4 linked regions of the Drosophila melanogaster genome follow. The gene in region 4 interacts genetically with the main gene of each other region. Each region holds a gene or a part of one and is shown on either strand. Other genes may lie near its edges.

Region 1 (4,792 bases), on a different chromosome or scaffold from region 4:
GGTGTTGGTAACATTGGTGTTACTACTAGTTGTCAACTTCGCAAGCTCGAGAGATAACAATTGAGGGGCTTACAAAGCGTCGGCTTGGTTGAGCTTATCTATGATAAGTAACGTAATTGTCTGTCACCACTGCTGTGCATTGGATAGAAATAGAAATTGTGCGCGTGCACAGTACGATTGGAAGAGTTGTTGATGTGTTACAACAAACAGACTAGACTATCGCGATCGTCCGTATGCAACGAAGGCTAGGCAGAGACTGGGCATCATTGAATGGGTCCAAAAAAAATTCTTAATGTTTGCCTTGTGGGTCCTATTCCTCATTCCAGTAGACTAATTCTAATTCAGTTACCCTCCCTAGCTAACCGTAGAACGATGCTTGGAACAGTCTTTATTAGTAAGTTTACGAGTAGTACGATACGAGTAGTCCCGACCTGGTTTTTCGGCGAAACTTCTCTGTTCCAAGTATATTCACTAGAAACTACATACCCTTAATCTTAAATCATTCTGTATGTTCATGTTATGTTCTGACTATAATAGACGTAATCCTATTATCTGTAATCTTTACTCTCTGCCGCTCTTACAGCAATCAATTATAACTTTTTTAACACATAATTAGATCTTACTAATATTACACTTATACTTTGTTGTTTTATTTATTTCCTCGTTTCTGGGCTCTTTAAAATTTTATTTATTGCATTGTCCTTTTAAATATGCAAATCAACTTAATCAAATTCACTTTTTAATTTTTATTTCGTTAAACAACATCAGACAACTCTATTCTAATAAACACCATAAAAAAGTAAATGTCCATTCTACAAAAGTAAAATAAAAGTCGCTCACGAAAGAGAGGGAGGGATCAGGGAAAATATTTCAATGAATTCAGCTGTATATTGATCCTCTAAAGAAATAATTCTTTCAAATTTGGAAACTAGTTTACCTAGAAACGGACAAAAAGTGTATATAATGTATATACTTTATAACGTAATTAATACTTTATAAATATTGAACAAGTACAGGCAGACAATTTCGGGTAAAGGCGATTATATCAGTGTAAGCAAGCATGCACAGCATGTTGATATTTAAATCTATGAACAAAGGAGAGAAAATGTTCGAGTTCTCCGACTATCAGATACCCATTACGCAACTAGTGGAGAAAAATAATCAAATAGCAGTCTTGAGCGGATTTGTCTCTGAAATCTGCATGCTTAATCTCAACTTTCTAGCTTATTTAGTTCCTGAGATCTCGACATTCATACTGCCAGACATATCCAGTTCGACTTGGGTAGTTCACTGGATCAAAAATATATATACTTTATAGGGTCGGGAACGCTTCCTTCGGTTGCCATTGTTTTTCGAAACCCCTTTTACTTTGCGAGTTTAAGAATACTTATATAGCGTGATAAATTTTCAACCAAATTAGCTACTATATTCTCTATACAAAATTATTTGCGCAGCTAATTAAAAATACTTTAAATTAAAATTCTATGTCTTCAAAAGCACATTAGGATATCCGCAAATCCGTACATATCCATATAATATTCTTTAAATCTTTAAGCCAAAAGCGAAAAGGTAACGGGTCTTGTGCGCAACACCATCATGGAACTGGGAGATCTACGGCACACTAAACTAACGCTCACAAGGGTATAAGGACTCTGCAGTTTAGCAATTAAAGAACGATGTGAGTCAGATGGGAATCAGAATAACAGCTTTGATTGTGGACAGTCATGCGGCATATTAACATTTCAAGCGAACACTAGCAAGAGCGTGCCTGTGAGCAACACCATTATTGAACTTGAACGTCTACAGCACACCCAAACTAACGCTTACATGGGTACCCGGCGTCTCCGCCATTACAGGTAACTCACGAGAGATGAGGATTAGCCTCACACCCGTCAACACTGTGTTTTGAGTGATAGTCTTCCGAGTCTTGCCTCCTTTGGAAAAACCTTAACCTAACATATTACTGAACAATCTGATGATACTTCATTTCTTCGATGCCAAGGCGCTTAAAAGCTGACATTAACGATCTGGGCTTGGCTTAAAAATGTTAGTATGGCGGCTTAAACAATATTAAAATTTTAGTTTTGACAGTTTTTGAAGGTTTGTGGGCGTTGGAGTAGAAGTGGTAATTTTCTCTAGAATGTGCATGCTTTATCTTAACTTTCACATCTTTTATTTAGTTCCCGAGATCTCAACGTTTATACGGGCAGATCGACTTGGCGCTAGTGATCATGAGTAAGAATACTGTGGTCGATTCCTTCTACATACTTTTCAACGAATCTAGTATACCCTTTTACTCTAGGACTAACGGGTATAACAAGTAAATATGTTTATATTTTATGCTTCATTAAACAGTATTTTGTTGTTACGCTTTATAAAAAAGTGCTTTGTTGCTATAATTCGATTTTCAAAACATAGACATGCCTGTAAAATCCGAACTTACCTTCATTCATTTTCTGATTGACTTTTGTGTTGCCTATATCTTCATCGTACTGTTCACTTTGAAGAATAATTCCAAAACGTTCGTATGCCATATTTACAATACTATAATCCACATACGCATGAGTTTAAAGTTAGTATTAAAGCATTTCAAATGCCAGGATAATTGTAGGCACATGTGTTAGGTAAGATTTGTATGTTTCCTGAGCGTTGCATTCCCTGAGGCTATTTGATGTATCTGAAAGAACAGCATTTTTACTGCCATTATTCCATATGTAGGCAATATAAGACATGAATATAATATCACGGATGATTGATACGTACACACACAGAATTAATAATTGTCATATTTAAGTAGGGAACATAATATACATTAAATATGACAAACGGTTCTCTAAGAAAATGTAGTGAATATGTTAAAAAAATTCTGATTGAAATAATACGAAAGATTAATTAAACGCCACATAAATTTAATGATAGTCGAATTGTTTCACTAAAAGCCGAGGAAAACAAAAGAATTCAAGTAATTTTTATAAAACGCGATACCAAATGACTCAAAATATTGAAAAGGTTATTCTGCTTGTTTGGCATGGGTATTCGATGCCTAAATATTTGGGTTTTTTGCAACATACTAAACTTTAGTATTTTTTTACAACGCAAAATATATCTTGATTCCACGTCGACTAGCTTCTAAATATAGAACAAGCTGGCTGTAATCTCTGTAATTATATCGGTATAGCTTGAAATATACATGCAAAACATAAAATTAAATAATACTACAAATTTGTAAACCGATATGAATTAAATTTTTCATATGCTTAAAGAAAATCCTATCAAAGAATGTGTATATTTTTCTATTAGTTTTAGTGATAAATAAAGTTCATATGATACGGTCCACAAATACATTTCGAAAATGTGGAAATGGAATCATCCTCATTTCGGAAAACGAGTGCAATCATGCTATAACCAATTTCCCATCGTTAACAAAGCTTAACATGAGACTGGAACAGATTTAAAAGAGGCAACTGTTAAACGAAAGGGGAAAGTTTCTACTGCGTGGGATCAGGCACCGATGGTTCAACATCTCTACTGATCTTGTGTTCTGCTGTAGATTTGAAAAAGCGCCAATTCTGCCAATCCTTGTGTTTTGTGCTGATGTAAGAGATGCCAAGCATGCACAGCGATAATTTATAGTCAATCATGCTCCTGTAATTTTTATTTTTTATTTCGATTTGGGCAAAATCTTTTGATTTCGTTTTTAGCTGTTTTGGTTTTCGCAAAATTTTTGCTATCGGAATGTTTTGTAAACATTAAACAGCTGTTCAAGCTGTTTTCCAGACCATAGAGCGGACACCTTTTTTTACAGTTTTAAGTCCGACGTTCGCAATTACTTTGTTATTGCACTTTGACATTTAAGTAATAAAAATACATTTAATTAAATACATACAACTCTTTTGGCCATTCCTGAAATTCATTAATGAATTCTTTTATATTTTATAAGTATTTTTACCTGCCTGTTTCGTTTTACCAACAGTATGGCAGCCTTCGCAATAAATATTGGGAACGTACTTCTCCTTTGCTAATCCCCTTGCTAAATCGAAAATATTTGTTGCTGACGGCAAAATGTTGTTTGTCAAATCTGAGGTGGGGTCGGAAATACATTTTTTGTATAATAACGCATTGGCAGAATGATCTTGTGGTGATTTGGAATTAACATCGATAGACCACTGAATAAAATATTTTTTCCTTAGTTAATAAGATCTGATTTGATAGATATATGTATGTATAACAGGCATTTACTTTTAATTTCGCCCAGACAAAAGTAAAATTCTTACGAATTCGATTACCAGAGAATGTCAATATTGACCGTCACCAAAAAAGTGACTGCATTGTGCTAAACCAACGTATGGTCGTTACCAATCATGTTATTCTAATGTCTTTGATTTGACTCTGTTAATAGAGATTGAGAAATATCGATGATGGCGGACATCGATGTTTTTGGCGAAATATGTTGAAAAAACATCGACGTTTTAAATAAAAACAAAAAAGAATTCATCTATTAAATTTATTATTTTCTTTTTTAATATTGCTTCAATAAAGAGGCTGCGTATTGTCGTCCACCTTTTCATCCGCCGGTGGTCCAGTAATTGCTTCTATACAACAAATACAATTACATATATAATTAATGCATTTTCATGGAAAAGTAAACTAATATGCATTACTATATGCATACATGCATACAGTAAAATAATTGTTATATATTTGAGTCTAACTAATTTCAGTTGACTAAGGTCAACGCTAAGAAATAAAAAATTATCATAGAGATGGTTTTCACGTCTTTATTCTTTTGATC
Region 2 (4,892 bases), on a different chromosome or scaffold from region 4:
CGGTGCAACGTCGTGGTCGGATGGGACTTTAACGTGTGGGCCGCTCTAGTGTGGTCGCCACACACAACTCCCAAGGGCAAATTAAATCTCGAAACATTCGCTAGGCTGGACGTTCAACAGTGCCGTTGCAGGATTAATTATCGACCTCACGTTCATAAGCAGTCCATTCGCTCGCTTCTCCTGTTGGGGTATCAAGGAGGTGGTCACAGTCAGTGACCACGAGGCGATCCAGGTCGAAATAGGCACAAAGGCAATCGAGAGCAGGGCTAACACGCAGTAACCTAAGGCCTACCGACAGAACACCATGAGTCTAGAAGAGTCCGCCGGCATTCTCCATTACCTGACGGTCAACGAGGCGAACTTGTGATCGCAGCAGCGGATAAAATAGTAGCGAGGGTGGAGGAGGCCTGCGGCCAAAGCATGCGAATGAGGAAAACGAACCGAAGGCACCACACCCTGGTTTTCTGGTGGAGCGAGGATATTGCCTTGCAGCGCATCATCAGCCTACGCGCAACGAGACTCGTACAAAGAGCTCGTGGCACCACGCGTCTGGAAGCATGCCATACGGAATACAAGGTCACAAAGAATTCACCGAAGAAAACGATTAGAGCCAGCAATCGTGAATGCTTTCTGAAAGTCTGCGTCGCAGCAGAAAGCGATCCATCTGCTCTGGAAAACATCTTTAACGTTCTGTTCCTGTTCGGTCTGCCATTCCCAATTCCCAGATCGGGCCAAGCGGAGACGAATTGCGGCCTGTCACGGAGCCCGAGATCCTAGCGGCTGAGAGGAGTCTTAAAACCAAAACGGTACCACACCCGATCGCATCCCAAGCAAACTACGAGAAACAGTGCTATGTTTGTTACCGCCTAAATTTGAAGGTTTTTTTTTTGTTTTACCAATTATTTTTAAAATATCCATGAGATCTGTTACTAATTTTTTTATTTCGATTGAAAATCATTGTAGTATTTAAGTTTAGTGAGTAAAATAATGAGAAAGTGTCAGAAAATAGAGAAAAGCTGGGACAAACACGAAATGTGCTTATGATGCTATTATTGTTACCGCAACTGTAATAAAGAGAGTTTCTTGACAGTCTTAAAAGCGTGTAAACTTGGAATTTGTTGTTTATTTTCTTGTATATTTAATATTTTTAATTTGTTTTTTGATTTATAAGTAAAATAAATATTGTTTGATTATATTTTATAAAAAAAATTGCGTTTAATTAAGCAAAAAACCCTTTATTTTTAGCTTTAAAGTCAAAAATTCAACTTATTTTACAGTGTGTAAACAGTTTCTTGACAAACTGTATGTGATATGTGATTCTAGAGACATAGGCGCCGCGCAAGTTTGTTAACCCATGTTGCCATGTGCAATCCAACGCACACATACCGGACAAAACTGCCACGTCTACACTTATGTAAAATGTTTTATTATTCTTTCATATTTTTATTTTCTTTTAAATTTCTATGAATTTGCCAGAAAACATTTTGCCATGACCACTCTAACGCTAACAATTTCAAAATGTTTTGAAATTTTTTGATTTTTGTATACAATTTCTATTAATTCGCGGCCACGGCCCTTCTTACACCTTCCAAACCGGTCAAGACCGAACTTTTGATCAATTTGAAACAATTTTGTTCTTATTTTATATCCCAGTATTTAACGATATCCCAGAAAAATGATGAATGAATTTCGTGTTCCCATTTTCACGAGCTGACTAACGGTTATCTGATTGACTCGACAATACCATTCTCTCTTCATTTGAAATTATATGTGGTATATCATTGGTATAACATTGATATTATGTTAATATGGTTTTTGCCGCCGTAAGAATAGGGTATAAGCTATTAAGTTGCTGTTCACAGTGTTCAATATTTGAGTATGTAAATATTTGATTTTCTCTTGTAAATCGTATTAACAGCTGAGTGGATGTTTGAAAATAATTAAATCAGGTTGCTTTTATAACTTAATGCAATTCATATTGATATTTTACTGATATTCTCTTTCTTAAAGGTTTAATCATGTAAACAACATCACAGTGTCTTTACTTAAGGGTGGCTTATTGATTTTAGACACATGTTATCAACGTTGGATTTTAATGCATGTTGAACAAACACGAATAAATATGCAGTCTCAAGGACAGAGCCATCAACTGCCGTCCGCGGCCCATATATTATTAGATCAAAATCCGAATTCAACAGGCAGTAACCTAGTCGTAAAACAAAATGACATTCAATCTCTTTCATCAGTCGGTAAGAAATAACCATACATTTATATATGTATGTACATACGTTTGTAATTGATTTTTTTAAAGAATACATCTAGTTAAATACTTTATACATTAATGCAAATGAATAAGTTTGACAGCGAAGACAACCACAATTAAATTAAGAAAAATCAATAAATCAAACAATTGGTTATGCCTGGCCCGAGATAGATATGTGTCTAATGTGTCTCATATTAACAACATATTAAGAGATGCATATGGTGTACGCATCTAAAAATTCACACAACATAAAAATCAGTGTTCAGTGTCTGAGCTTATTTCGTGTAGTTAAATTAATTTTTATGTTGGCATTGCTTCGATGAAAGATACCAGAAAAATGTAAACGCAATATTTTTGAAAGAATTATTGACATGGTTAAAAAACAGACGATTTCCGTATTCTAAATGTGCATCCCTCATTAAAGCCGTATCTTGTAAGGGGTATCTGGTAGTCGAGAAACTCGTCTATAATGTTATCTCTCACTCCATCTAAAATTAAATTTTTTATTGTAATTTTTTTTTTTTCTGGCTTAAAGCTTACTTTGCACTTAAATTTTTTTTCGTTCTGCTGTAGCTTGCACGTTTTTCCTTTTTTAAATTTTTGACAACATATATTACATATATGTACATATATTATTTGGTATTCATTGAAAAGTTCTTCGGTGCTTTTCGGCCTTCATTCAATACAGTATTTTCTTTTAGGGAGAAGCTTCCGCTTCTCCGCGAAGTTGGATCAATCTCGGATATTAAAATTAAAAAATTGTTAGGTTTAAAATGGCCATTTATTGAATATTAACATACTGCACAAAATAAGCTGCGGCATAAAAAACACCTTTTTGTTTTCTAAAACGATTAGAAAATTGCTTTTTTTTTATATAACAAATTTAAGAATCCGGTGCTGAAATACCTTATTGGTTTGAAACCTCTAAACTGTACGAACAAACTACAGCAGACAACTTCGGATGTGTCCTTTGAAATTTCAAGGGTTCGTTACCCTGCATATCCGTTGGTTAATCTGCACCAATTGAAGTGCTTAACACTAGTCTAATTTGTTTAAACTGTATTATTTCTAGAATATCATTGACTGCGTAGTGAGAGATCTTGAAAACTCATTGACTCGGCCCATTTTAGGGTAGTCCTGAATCTGGATGTGTATGATCTATACCTGTATTTCAATCTGCATACATATGCATGTGTCTGCAGTTCTCAGTGTGTGTCTCAATCATCTTTCCTTGCTGTACCTGAGGAATTATCTCTTGAGCATAGTATCTAGTTGCCTTCTCTAAAGTATGAAGCTTATACAGATTACTTCCTCTGATAATTGCACGAAATAATATTCAGTGTGAAGAAGGAAGTTTAAAAATAAGTTTTGTTTTCATTTTATTATTTGCCTTGCTATGTTTTATTGATTTAAAAATCTGTTGCGGAACTCGACCAAAGGGTACGGCCAAAGACACCAGAATAACAAGATGCGTAACGCCATTCGATGTGGCTCTAGAGCACTATGGGGCATTTGGCCTGTTTTTTTTACAATAATGTGTTTTTCACAAGTATGCAAATTTGAAGTATTTTAGTATTAATACATTGGAAATACGTTAAACTGTTATGATACAGCCCGCAAAAGTTAATTTTACAATGCACCGTTATAATAACAGCTGTTAAAGTCGGCTGTTGCGAGCATATATCACGTGGCTGCTTTGCGCGCAAAATTTAGCTTAACTTTCAAAGTGTTAAAATTTAAAAAGAAGAAGAAGGAGAGTATAATTTGAAATAGATAATCAATCTTTAGGTTTTTATTATGTGTTGTTATTAATATATTGTTTATTGTGTGCGCCTATTTCTAACAATTTGTACATTTAGCAAGTGGTGTCAACATGTAGTTGTTTGAAAAAATTTTAAACTTTGAATAGAGCTACAACAATTTGTTCAAATTTGTTCAGTAAGTGTTTATATCCATGTTGTAGTGTGTTCAATTTCTAACTCATATCAGGTAGTCTCTATGTGCGTTTTTTGCGGTTTCTTGAGAAATTTCATTTTTTAGGGAGCAATATCTCGATTTCCAATGCTGCCCTGCTGGAAGTGTGGCGCAAGCAAAAGGTTGTTCGTCAAAAGGAAAATTCTATTTGCACTTTTATCAGTGGGCATATTTCTGATAGCAAGCTAGACTTTAATGAACGATTAACGAATAATATTAATAACGAATGATTTCAGTCAATCTTTTGCGAAATTGGAGAAAATGCAATCGAAAAATAAATGAATTTTTGAAAGTTTTTCAAATTGGTTAGAAGAACACCTAGTCCTGAAGGTAAAGGAGAAAAATAAAAAGGAAAGGAAATTAGCTGGACTCCCGAAAACGTCATATTATTTAAAAAATTTGAGTGGCCGAAGACAGCAAGCAGATGAACTCGTAAGGGCGCAGAATCACAACGAATGTCTTTTGGTTCAAGCTGTACGGAAGTGCTGCCTGCGGGATCTTGCAGCCATACTTAAAATTCTTTTGTTGAACCCAGCCAAAGCAAAAACTATTAGTAGCTTCGCAGATGTCTTTTACAGAGCAATGGATACTACGGATCCCATAATATCATCAATAAATTTAAAGAGGCGAAAACATAAGCGACTATCTCTTCCAC
Region 3 (4,659 bases), on a different chromosome or scaffold from region 4:
CCTTTGGAGGTCCCTGTAATGCTGGAATTTTTCTTCTACGGTGAAAACTGTGTGCGAAAGTGTTTACTGGAGTGATTACAAAAAAAAAACAAATCCCTGCCTAAAACACCACTTAAATTAAAATTCATTGGGGTTTTTTGACCATCACTATTGTGAAAGATATGATAACAGAATGCAATTCTATTATGATTCCGTAAAAGTTCACGCAAAGACAATTCTTGAGTGCATATTTTGTCTAGACGATTCATACAAAAGGCTAAAAATAGACCAAAAAGCACATTTTCAATAAAATGCAAGCTTTCGACATAAGGTCCGATCGGTAAACAATTTTATAGTAACATGAACTTAAAAAAAAGTTGGAAACAAACTAAGACAAAACAAAAATATTTGTTGATTGAAAAATATAATAACATTTAAATGTTATGTATTCAATGATAATTTTAGTTGTTTGGCTTGAAGGGTACTTTTACAATTGTGTACTTATCAAACTTTTAAATATAAAATTTTAATATTTTTACAGTTTTAATATACTCTAAGATTACTACTGTATTTCTTCTATGAGAATAAAAATCAATCTTTATTATTGTTTGGGATGAAACTTTAAAAACATTTTGTAATTTATTAAGGCTAGTTTAAGAAATGGTTGAAATATAAGAATAAGAAATATAATAAGAAATATATTAATTTAAAACCTCCTGACATCTCCGATTTTACTGTGGGCAAACCAATCAATAAAAGTATTATAATAGAATGGAAAATGAATAAGAAATTAAAAAATTTTAAAAAGAAGTTTTCCCTGCAATAAAACTGAAAGAAAAAATCTTTAGACTTTTTGATCTGCGAACTTCGAAGACTTCAGAATAGTATTGGGTGAGTACGCTACTATTTAGAGGATAGGATCATTATAAATAAAAATATGCAAAATAAACTCTTAACTCCCACGGCAATGATAATAATGGTGTTAATTTGCATGGAAAGTATCGTCATGGTACGGTTCCTTCGTTCGCAATTTATCCGTTAGATCTGCATTGTTACGTTACGTAGAGCAGTCTAACGGTTAATTCGCCAAGACGGAAACGAAGTTGCTGCTTTTATTGTTGTTGGCTGCCACTGATTGGAGAGCTCTTTCGCGCTCACATTGTGGTTGTTGCTGTTGCTGCCACTTCTGTGGGGGAAAAAAGGAAAAGGCAAGGGAAAAGAAGCAAAAAGCATTTCCAATTTGGAGGCATTAAATAGCGTGGGAGCGAGAGGGGTGCAGATATAGACGTACGCCTACGTGCAAATATGCGATTTCTGCTGACGGAAATTGCAAGTTGCGATTACATAGGCACTCATTCTACCTTGATTGCACATGGTCTTATGTATTCCGAAGTGTTTGCAGATGGATAAGAGCCCGTAAGAGTTGTAAAACCTCTGCCATTTATGTGCAGCCCTTTGTTCTCTATCCCCCTCCCTCTTCAATTTTCCGCTTGTACATACAGAAACGAACAAAGAAACGGCTGGCAAAGCAAAAGAAAAGAGCCAAACGCCGACGTCAATGTCGGCGTCGACGCAGGCAGCGGCAGCGACCGACGATGTGGCGACCGAAAAACAGAGTCAGCGAAGAGCGCCTGTTTTAGTGCAACACCAACATTCAACGAGAGCGGTTCGTCGACGCTGTGCGGAAAGATTACAGAGCGAACGAGAGAGACCGAGCCAGAGCGACGACGCCCCGCAACGAGAACAACAAAAGAGCCGAGTGCGCGTGCAAGAGAGATAGCTGACTTGTTGCCCAGTGAGAGGCCGGCGAGAGCGAGACGGACGATCAGTGTGCGAGCGACGAAAAAGAAAACAAAGATACTCGCCCAGAGCAGTTGGCTACCTGTCTTTGGCCTGGTATATAAGTGTGTGTATGCGAGAGAGAGTAAATAGCGGGCAACGCAGCAGTACATAAACGAAAAGCAGCGTGGTCGTTAGTCGAACAAAAACTCTCAAAGCGAACGGACGTGTGCGGTCGGTTGTTTCGATACTCCTGCTTTATCGCTATCCAAACAGAGTGAAGCGACCACTATAAATAACGAAACAAGAAACATGTGTTTATATTACAACCAGAGCTCAAAGCTTCAGTTGCATAATAATAATAATAATAAAAAAGCAATCTGAAGCCAATTTCCTTTGTGTGACAAATGCCGTAGCAGCAACAACAGAAGCACAACACAACTACGTCTGCTGGCTTATGTACGTCGCGCGCGCTTGTGTGTGTGTGGGGCAGAAAACATAGAGCAAAGCATAATACACAATAAAGGTGCCCGCGAAAGCAGAGCAGCCGAAAGTGCCAGCGCGTGTTGGTGTGGTTTGAATGTGCAGGCGAAGTGAAGAAGTAGAAAGAAAATAAAATAAAATAAAAGTGAAGTGGAGCATAGTGAAGAAAGAGAAGCAGAAACGCTGACTCAAAACTCAAGTGTGGATTATTTACTTGGATTATTCCTCTTGCCATTGGATTATTTATGTATACAAGGCGACCACCGCGATGCCAATTAACTGGCTGGATTATTAGTGGATTAAAGATTGGATACAAAGGTACATGATTGGCGTTAATCAACACTGCTCTCGACCGGCAGCTGTTGCGCTCTCCCCCCACCAACCACAGCCCCTCTTCTGTTTTCTCTTGATGACCCCCTCTCTTTCTTTCTCCTTTTGTCCCAGCAAGTAAGAATTTCGATTGGACACACGGCAATTGAAAAAGGGGAGCATGAGAATATGAGCGTGTGTGACTGATTTTTTTTTACTGCTCTTTCATTTAGCAACGTTTTTTGTTTTATGTTTATGTACTTGTTTCTTTGAATGAAAGCAATATGCGAGTGTGTGTGTGTGCGTGCTTGTGAAAGAGGAGATAAAGCCGCAGTCTCGGTTCTGCATTCTCCGAATTTTCGCTGGGTTGTTGTTTTTTCTGTTCCCTGTCACAGTCTCGCGTTTCCCTTCTTTCAACATCCCTTCGCATCCCTACCCACACACACACACACAAACATACGCGAGCATATAAACACACGCACACCACACACAAATAAGAAATTCCGCTGCTTTTTTTTTTATTATCCTTTTCATGTTGGTACTCACTCACATTTTTTTGCGCGCGCGAGAATCCCTGAGACTTTAAACACGGCAATGGAATGGGTTCGGTAAAATAAGAAGGGAAAGGGCCAACAGAAGGGTTCCTCTTTTCGCACAGCACTTAAAAGTGATGTAAAAAGGATTTAAAGAGGCCTGCTGGCAATTTCTTTTCGCCCTCTCCCATATACAGTCATTCATATTCCATTGCCATATTTTCTGTACACAAATATAATTTTCCATATTCTGTGTGCCCCCGGAGTTGAAAAAGTTTTTCCGAAAAGTTTACCGTATGTACCTTGACTTTTTACTGGCGCGTTGATGCAAAAACAACTTGAAGTTGTTTGAAATACACATTTTGTTCGACGCCCCCACAGATCCGCCCCCCACTTTCGATGTACTTGGCATCTGGTTAAAACTCCACTCGGCACTCTTCACTCTCCCCCCTCCACCCTTCCATCCATAATAAAACAAAGCACCCCTGTGCAACTCTGCTCCCCCCTCTTTTGATCCCAAAAGTGCTGTGCATTTCAATATATTCGACGTAGGCATTCCCATGGCAACTACAACATCCATTATCGAGGGCCCCCACATCCATCGACTGATTGCAAATAATAGCTGCCAGATTGCGACTCCTTTCTGTCTACTGCTCAAGTCCCACAAGCTTTAATTTGGGACATCATGTCTGAGTTAAATGCATTTTGATTTCTTTGAGCTAAAGCGTTCTCTAACAAATTAAAGTCAAAGCATATTCACTAAACTCTAAAAATTGAAATGATCTTTAAGTTTCGATGTTCATGCAACAACATATTTGTTTATTTTACTTAATAAGTTCTTGTCTTTGATCATTTATATTGAGTCAGCGTACTTGGCAACATCATTAAAATATTTTCTGAACAGATCTCTTATGACGATCACTGTAGAAACTTTATCACCATTTCAACTATATTAAAACTGATTCACGAAGAATGATGCAAAAGAGAAGATTGCAGTGAGGAAAAATACGATCCCACCGAGTTCATTAACTCTACCAGTTTTCCCAGAAAGTGTATATTTCCCTTGCCTCCATTATTCTATCGTAAACAGCGAGGGGCGAGTGGAGCTTTAAGCTTCTTCGCGCACCAACGAGGCTATACCGATATAGCTTCGGCTTATTGCTTTCTGCGGCTCAGCGTCTGATTTATTTATAATCTTCAGCACGCTCTCTTCTCGAGTCGATTTACATTTTCCATTTCACATTTTCCATGCGCTCCTTTATTCGCATTTAATTTTAACTTCTGGCATTATCTATTTTGCAGATTGACGCTTGTGCGAAAAACAAAAGCGAATTTTTAGCGGCGAGAGTGTATTATTACTATGATGACGCCAGAATCGAAAGCAATACAGCCGGCAGCAGCAACAACAAAGCAAACAGCAGAAGCAACAGCAACAACAACAATGGCTCACACACAACAAAAGTCGCAGTTGTCAACGTTGGCGAAAACAACAACGACAACGGCAACGAATAAGGCGGCCAAAAGCGTTGTCAGCAATGCAAATAGCAGTGGCAACAATTCGAGCAAAAAGCTGGCT
Region 4 (7,783 bases):
GCTGCTTCTACGGCACCTTCACCGCCATCGCTAGGGACCTCGCCTCCGGTTTCCTCCTCTTTAACTGCCTCGGGCAGCTGTGAAGGTTTCGGATGGTTTGGATGACTGGTCTGCTGGTGGTGAGGGTGCTGCTGATTTTGTGGGTGATTTTCTCGCCACAGCTTGCTCTTTGCCTCACTGACGATGCGACGCTGTAGATTCAAGTACTTATTGCGCATACTGCTCCAACTAGTCTTGGGTAGCACCTTGAGCTCCAGGGCACTGGGCTCAATGTTTGGCTTGTCCACGATCGCCTTCTTCTTGCGCTTGCGACGGCGCTTTTTGGCAGCTTCATCGCCATCGGTTGCCTCTGTTTTGTCCTCCTGCTCGGAGGCTTCGGCTGTGCCCTCTGCATCCGTTTCACTCGCTGTTTCCCCAGCTGTAGAGGTCTCGCTAGGCTGGCCCTCCTCCAACTTAACCCGTTTCACCTCGTGTATCTCCTCGCGATCCTTGTCGGTGGCCTCCCTTTTTAGATTTCGCTTTGGCAACTCAACCTGTTCAGCCTCTGACTGCGGCTGCTCCGCTTTCTGTTGTATCTGCTGCTGCTGCTGAAAGGAGCGCACACTGGCCAGATCACTGGGATCGGTTTCTACGGACAAAACGCCCTGTATCTGGGCAAAAGCCTTCACAGCTTTCTCCAAGGACCCGCTCTTTTCGAACTCGATAAAGGCAAATTCCTTGATCTTCTTAGTGCCCGGATAGTGGGGCAGGGACACGTAGGCCACCGGTCCGTAGCGGCTGAATACCTCCTTCAGCCAATCGTGAGTGGCATTTGCAGGCAGGGCCTCTACATACAAGGTTTTGTCGTTGACATCGCGCTGATCTGGTAGCTTGGTACGTCGCTTGACCTTTAGTTCGGTCTCATCCAGCTCCAGAAGCTGGGAGTTGCTTAGTGCCTTGGCTATCTGCTGCACATCCTGGGTGAGCGTCTTTATCTTATTGAAAGTGAGAAAGATTTCCAATGGTACATCTGTAAAAGAATAACATGATCAGTGTTATGTTGGCTGGTGAGCCAACCTTAGCTACTCACATGGATCCTGCTCTACGTAGCGCCGAAGGAAGCGATCCTTGCTCAAGTTGGCGTCACCGAAGTAGAATTCCATTTGACCGCGAATCGAATTGAACAAATGCCTCTTCCTTTTGCGTCCACCATCCTTTTTATCCGGCGATGCGTCTTCCGGCGCCGGTTCTTTGGAATTTTCCTCAGCTGGTTCAGTGGGTGCGGCTGGATCGGGTTTCTCCGCTGATGTCGCGGGCTCCTGACCCTCGCCCTTCTCCTTCTCGATACTCTTGGCAGCCATTGAGTGCCAGTTAACCAGTAATCTAAGTCACTCGAATAAAATATTGCACTTGGTTTTTGCGTTCTGATCTATTTGGCAACGCCGTCTAGTTATGAATTGCTGGGATGCCAGGTATTTGCAGCATTCCCATATCGATAGTTTAACGAATATCGGATTCTAAGTACTGTAACGTACACATAAAAACGAATTGAAGCAAGACCATCAAAGCAATAAAAACTGCTATAATTTGTTTTAAGCGAAAGAGACGTATTTCTTTGCTTTAATTATTACCATTATTTCCCACGCTCCTAATAAGGCTTGGCAGCCAAGCGCAAACAACGGGACTATATCGATAGTTCGGCGCTGTGGCAACCCTACTGCGTTGTTTTGGCGGGCGGCAAAAAAAACACAGATGCTATGCTAACCTATGTGTGTTGTACAGTGCGCCGCTAGAATCGGCAACAACAAAACGAAAATAGTCGGCGAATAGGCGAGAAAATGGTTTATTCTCTCTCGAATTAAAGCGCTGATTCAATTCCGACTAACTATTGAGTGATTAAACCTGCAACAGTCAATAATAAGGCATTACAAGTGCGTTCGATAAACCTAAAGTCTTGCAAGCGAAAAAAAAAAGAAAGGCAAGGCGAAAAGCGAGTGGATGGTGACGCTTAGCTGAGTCGGAAAGTCCAGCCATGGAGTCGATTGTCCTGCATTCGGACGTGGCTCGCTTGGTCCTGGGTAGGTTTTCCCTGGACGCTTTTCTAGCTCGCAATATTTATGCTCTTCCATTTTGTAGGCTACCTAGTCAACCAGAATCTAAAAAGGGCCGCACACACTCTGTGTCGCACATCGCCTCACCTGCGCCACGAGTTCCTGGCCCTTAAACAGGGCCTGCAGACGCACAACTTCCTTCACGGGGGTCTGGAGGAGATAATCTGCGAGCATGTCAAGATCACAAGCTTGGGTAAATTAGCACGCTCCTTGCGTTTCTTTTTTTTTGCGGCTGACCGAAAATCTCTCTTTTCAGTGGCCGGTGCCGTGCAGAAGCTGCCGCTGGATATGCGTATGCAGCTGCAGCAGATGAAGCTGTCCGAACGGGTCAGCGAACTGATAGCCGCCGGCGAGAGGAGTAGCTGTACCAATGAAAGCAGCACCCCAGGCGAGCCCACCATATCACAGTCGCATCGCAAGAGAAGGCGCTTGTAATTATAGATTTTTCCTTGACACAAGCACATCGGAATTCTCATTGCTCTCTTACCCCTTTTCCCCAGGCGCACCCATTCTCCCGTGAACAGCATTTCTTCGCCTTCGTTTAGCAAGCGACCGCGTCTGCTGCCGCCACACTTCTACTGCAGCGTTAACCGCGACAAGGTCAGGCAGAGTTTCCTAGGCAGCCAGGATGACTGCGAGGCGGAACTGGACGAAGAGGATGGCGAGAGCACAACGGCCACCGAGGACTTGGAGGAGGATGACTTACTTCCGGCGAATGGTCCTGGTCCGCGCAACAATTCCACGCCGCGCCAAGGTCATACCGAGTCCAATCCACTTCTGCTCACGCCGCAAAGCATGCCTGTAAGTCCATAGACATGCTTAATGCATATCTGCTTAATTAACCAATAGTGCATCTATTATGTATTCTAAACAAAAAACACTCTTTCGATTTACATTGATTTCAGGAACTGGCCTGCGCGATAATTAAGAATCAGGACTTCCAGGAGACGCTGGTAAAGAATATTAACGTAGCGCTGCAGACGGTGACTGTTAACAATCCGTCGGTAAGCTGTGACGCCATGTTGGATGGTCTAGTGAAGAACATACTGGAGGCCACCGAGAAGGATCCCTCGTTCGATCGCATCATACAGGAGGTGGTGATCGGGGATGAACCATTGGCAAATGAGGAGGACCCTGGTGTGTCGCCTGCCTCTGATGCTGCTGGGGCTGCTATTGTTCCCGCTGCTGATGGAGATGTGCTGCCGACAGAACAGGCCGTGGATCCCGTGCCGCCGCAAACACCGCTTATTATTCGCACCGCCGTTGCAGCCACCGCAGGAACCAATGCAGATCCCAATTTCTCCATCTCCAAGCTTATCGTACTGAACTCCAACGAGAGTGTCCAAAAAATGGTTGCTGGTTTGGATACGTCCAATATCAGCTTTACAAGCGAAGGCCTCAATATAAATTTTGCCGATCCAGCGTCAATGCTCAGCGAGGTGGAGGCGACAGCTGCTGGTCAGGTTTGTGTGGACGCCACCACCGGGCAGCTGACGTTTCCCATGTACCTCTCGAACGGTGGACTGCTGTCGCATCTTCCATTCCTGGTGAACAACGAGTGGGTAGCCCAGCAACTTGGGCCGGATGCCTTTGCCAACATTGATGACTCGCACATTGAGATATCGCTGCCGGAGCCGATTACTCTGTCTGCCAATCAGCTGCCCCCCAATTCCATTATCATTAGCAGCGCCCAGAAACAACCACCTCCCCCAAGCGTGGAGCCTCCAGTCCAGTTGATAAAAGATGCAGCCAAAGTGGACAACAAGGCGGGCCAGGGAACGGCGGCAAAAGAGCAACCGATAGATCAACTAGAGGAGGAGCAGCGAAAGTTTCCACCCGCATCCCTGGATTCATCTAGACAAGTCATGGAGAGAGTGACACCCTCGACGTCGGGAATAATTAACGTAAAGGCCTTTCGTAGCTTATCCACTCCCCGAAAGAGAACTTCGCATGTACGAACATTAACTTTTTCCCCTAAGGTTCCTCCTGGTGGCGTCCTGCATTCCAATACGCCGCTGTCCACTAGGCGACCTGGTTTGCTGGCCAAAGCCCAAGAGAAGCCAATTATCAACCATGTGGAGATCATCCAGGCCGCCTGCGACCTGAGCTCAAACGAGGGCCTTGGAGGAGTGCCACCACTCTTCGCCATGGAGGAGTGCAGCAATCAGACGGTGATCAGGGCCCATCCTCCAGCTGCCGCTCCGTCAGCAGCTCCGGTTCCTCCGTTGGTGGCCACGCCCAAAAGAAAACAGAAGCGACAAGCAGCGGTCAAGGCCTGCAAGCGAATCATCTCCCAGGCGGAATCGGAAACCAAGACGGATAAGGATCAAAAGAAAATTATGCCCAAAAATAACTCTGCCTGCAGCGCATCGTCGACCGCTCACGATGACAGCGCCGAGGCCAGCAAAGAGAATCTCCAGGAGCAGCAGAAGATTGAAGGAAAGCCAGATGTAGGCTCCGCCGCCAGAGGAGACGCAGTTGTAGATAACGATATGGCCGCCTGGCAGCGCCAGTTGCATGGCTCCAATTCTGACCTTGAAAATCGGCTGCGTGAGATTAACTCCAAGCGCGAGGAGGTAAAGGCCTCCGGCCGCTCGAGGCGTCCAAAGAAGAAAGATACACCCACTTCAGCTTCGTCGAGAGCACGAAAGGCTCCAATGGTCAAAGCGAAGGCGGAGCCCATGAATCTGGCAAAGAAACCGCAGCGCAGTGTTGGGGATTCCACTGAGAAGATCAACATCAAGATTATCACTCCTCAGAAACCAAAGCTCCTGAAGAAAAAGAAGGTGTTTGAGGCAAAAGAAGAAATCATAGACGAAACCATAGAAGAAACCATAGACGAAACCCAAGCGGAGATCGAGGAAAAGGATCAGAAGAAGAAAAGTGAACAAGGATGCATATATGCAAAGGATCAGGAGCAAGCGAAGGCCTTAGCGGCAGAACTGTCGCGACCCAACATGGCCATGCTTCTGGACACTCCGTTTAAAGCATCTCCCATTGGAGCAGGAGCAAGCGGAGCCGTAGAAGATGACACCACATCAAAGGAAGCTGGTGTTGGTGTAGCCGCTATCATCCCACCCACGCCAGGAATGGCCATTCCACCTCTGGACACGCCATATGGCAAGTTGCCCAGTAGCAGCTTTCTCTTTGGTTCGGATACCAAAAGTATTATGGATACGCCCCAGTTGAGTGCCATCACACCTGGATTTCGCTTGACACCTTTTGGACAGATGCCCGGTACTCCGATAGGCAGTGCTGCCAAGACTGAGTACTCTTCAGGCAGTTCCTATTATCGTCCGGATGAAGCGGAACACACCGATGCGAATGCGCAGTGCGCAATACAACAGTGGGGTGATCCGCAGGATAAGAAACAACCCAAGGTTCGGTCAACGCCCAAGAAGAAAAAGGTTGAGGCAGAGGATGAGCTTTCGCAACAGAAGAATCAAGAGCTAATAGAAATGGAGTGTTCAAAGAAAAGCCTTCATCCGGAGGACAAACATGCTGAGGACAATAAGAAAACACCGAAAAGACCAGAGAAGCCAATGGATGAACATCTGAAGGAAACTGAAAACGATGGTGAAAAGAATGAAACGGTTTTAGAAAAGACACCAGATGCTGTGAAGCAACCCGTTGTCCTGTCCTTGGAGCCCACCGTCCTTCGACGCGTTCGATCCTTTGGCAGTGAGGCGGTGGACAGTGCGGAGTCCGCTACAGCTGGCTCATTTCCCTCCGATCAGCAGCAGCTTCCGCACTATAAACTTTTGCCTGGCCTGCCCGAGGCAATTATTGAAGGATCTAGTAATTCTAGCTCCTCGGCAACCAGTTCATCGTCCTCATCCAGTTCGAGCTCAAGCTCCTCCAGTAGTTCATCATCGAGTTCCTCATCCTCGTCAAGTTCTCACAGCGGAAAGGGGGAAAGCAGAGGGGAAGAGGCAAATGGCGAGAATGCCGACGAAAAGTGCAGCAAGAAAAAGGAGATGCTACTAAACATAGATAACTTATCGAACATTAGCAGCACGGAAGACGAAGAGTGGCTGAAGGCAGCCGGTTCTGAGGATGCAGTTCTGCCCATGCTTGCTATCGACAGTCAGCCAGGTCAGTTAGTTAGCCAGGACGGGGAGGTCCGCTATCCTATCCGGAATTGGCTGACACCAAGCAAAGAGCAGGCCCAGGAGACGGATACCAGTGGAGAACAGCAAACAAAACCTACACCTCCTAAACCGGTGGCTGCTCCTGTTCCGCCTCCGCCGCTTCCTCTAACACCGCCAGCTGCTCCTCCGCCGCCTCCACCGCCTCCGCCAGAGGCGGACGATCCTTCATCCGTCGCTCTTCCAACGGCCTCTACAAGCCGTCAGGAACACCAACGCCAGCAGCTGAATGAAAAACGCCAACGTGTAGTGGCCAAGTTTAAGGAGCAACCCCAACCGATCAAAGGTCAAGGGAGAAAGACTGCCAACAAGAAGCTCACTGCAATGCGTGAAAATGCCAAACTGGCCAATCCAAGCAGTCAAAAATCGCCAAAAAATCGAAAGCACATCGAACCACTGAAAACAAAAGCAGCTAAAAAGCAAATAGAACCAAATCCGAATGTTAAGTCCACAGAGGCTACTGGTCCGCCAGTCGGTGCCGCCACAGATGCGCCAGCAGATCCGCCAGCCGGCAAATTGGATCCCGCTCTGCTCATGGCCCTCAATCTATCTGCGAAAAAACAGGAATCATTACCGATTGTAATCAAACCAAAGGTAAATCGAGCAGCGGTTGAAATTGCGGCACAGCCTGCCCCTGGAAAACGTGGACGCCCGAAAAAGGTACAGAACGGGGAGCCAGCCAATCTCTGTATGCGACGATCCTCGCGCCTAGTCGAAAATAAAAGTAAGTAGTTAAGATCCAATCGAATGGGTATTGAAACTAATATATTGTCTTTGCAAAACTAGCTCCTGCTCCGGAAGATCTCTCCAAATCCACTGAAGGAGCAAAGACGAAGACCCAAATCAAGGCAAATACCAAGAAACCGGCCAAGAAACGTGTCGAGGCAAGGGTACCCTCCTCCACAACCGATGCTCCGGCACTGCCCATTGTAGCGGAGGCGGAATCCACCCAAAAATCTCCAAAGCAAAAGCCGCAAATTCAGCAAACAATACAAGAACCTAAACAGGATCCACCGCCATCGAAATGCGATTCGGAGCCCGATGACAGCGACTTCGAGCAGGACATGTGCCTGAGCAGCAGCCAGGAGCGTTTTACCTATAATTTCACATATGCGGACAACGGACCAAAGTCCAGCAATCCGATGATACGTCAGCCATCGAGCTATTTCAAAAGCTATCAGATGCGCTTGATGACCGATGACGAACAGCTGCATACGCTGCGCATAGCCAGTGCCCAGGTGCTCTGTCTGGGCCAACCGGTGGCCAGCGCCATTCGCAATATACCCAAGAAGCGGATACGCCGCCTGACCGGCAATAGTGGCGGGACAGCGGCAACAGGGGGAAGTGCAAGTGTAAGTGGAGGAAGTGGAACGGGAGCGGAAGTTGCTGCTGCTGGCGAACAGCCTTCGGCCACGTCTACGCCGCTGGTGGAGAAGCCCCCATCCAGGAGTGGGCCGCAAGATGAGGAAGATCTGGAGGTGGCCACCATGTAAGTGGTGAACATATGCATTTTATTTTTTGTATGCTTATCATAATAATAATACC

The links.
Region 1: of mxc (region 4) and pho, changing one enhances a phenotype caused by changing the other (phenotypic enhancement), as found in Drosophila melanogaster (one study listed by BioGRID).
Region 2: of mxc (region 4) and sxc, changing one enhances a phenotype caused by changing the other (phenotypic enhancement), as found in Drosophila melanogaster (one study listed by BioGRID).
Region 3: of mxc (region 4) and Psc, changing one enhances a phenotype caused by changing the other (phenotypic enhancement), as found in Drosophila melanogaster (2 studies listed by BioGRID).

Annotation. Positions count from the first base shown.
Region 1 is NC_004353.4:1,178,605-1,183,396, forward strand, and holds the start of pho (pleiohomeotic), read right to left. Parts: upstream 3,025-4,792; 5' UTR 2,986-3,024; exon of another isoform or gene 2,764-2,985; intron 2,678-2,763; 5' UTR 2,535-2,677; coding exon 2,444-2,534; intron 1-2,443. UniProt on the Drosophila melanogaster protein: Polycomb group (PcG) protein that binds to the 5'-CNGCCATNNNNG-3' sequence found in the regulatory regions of many genes.
Region 2 is NT_033778.4:5,305,404-5,310,295, forward strand, and holds the start of sxc (super sex combs), read left to right. Parts: upstream 1-1,884; 5' UTR 1,885-2,095; coding exon 2,096-2,249; intron 2,250-4,892.
Region 3 is NT_033778.4:12,977,948-12,982,606, reverse strand, and holds the start of Psc (posterior sex combs), read left to right. Parts: upstream 1-1,612; 5' UTR 1,613-2,559; intron 2,560-4,385; 5' UTR 4,386-4,443; coding exon 4,444-4,659. UniProt on the Drosophila melanogaster protein: Polycomb group (PcG) protein. PcG proteins act by forming multiprotein complexes, which are required to maintain the transcriptionally repressive state of homeotic genes throughout development.
Region 4 is NC_004354.4:9,237,433-9,245,215, reverse strand, and holds the start of mxc (multi sex combs), read left to right. Parts: upstream 1-1,748; 5' UTR 1,749-2,011; coding exon 2,012-2,057; intron 2,058-2,115; coding exon 2,116-2,283; intron 2,284-2,346; coding exon 2,347-2,521; intron 2,522-2,590; coding exon 2,591-2,891; intron 2,892-2,995; coding exon 2,996-6,962; intron 6,963-7,024; coding exon 7,025-7,727; intron 7,728-7,783. Other genes in the region: Larp7 (La related protein 7), read right to left, coding at 1-1,009, 1,070-1,340.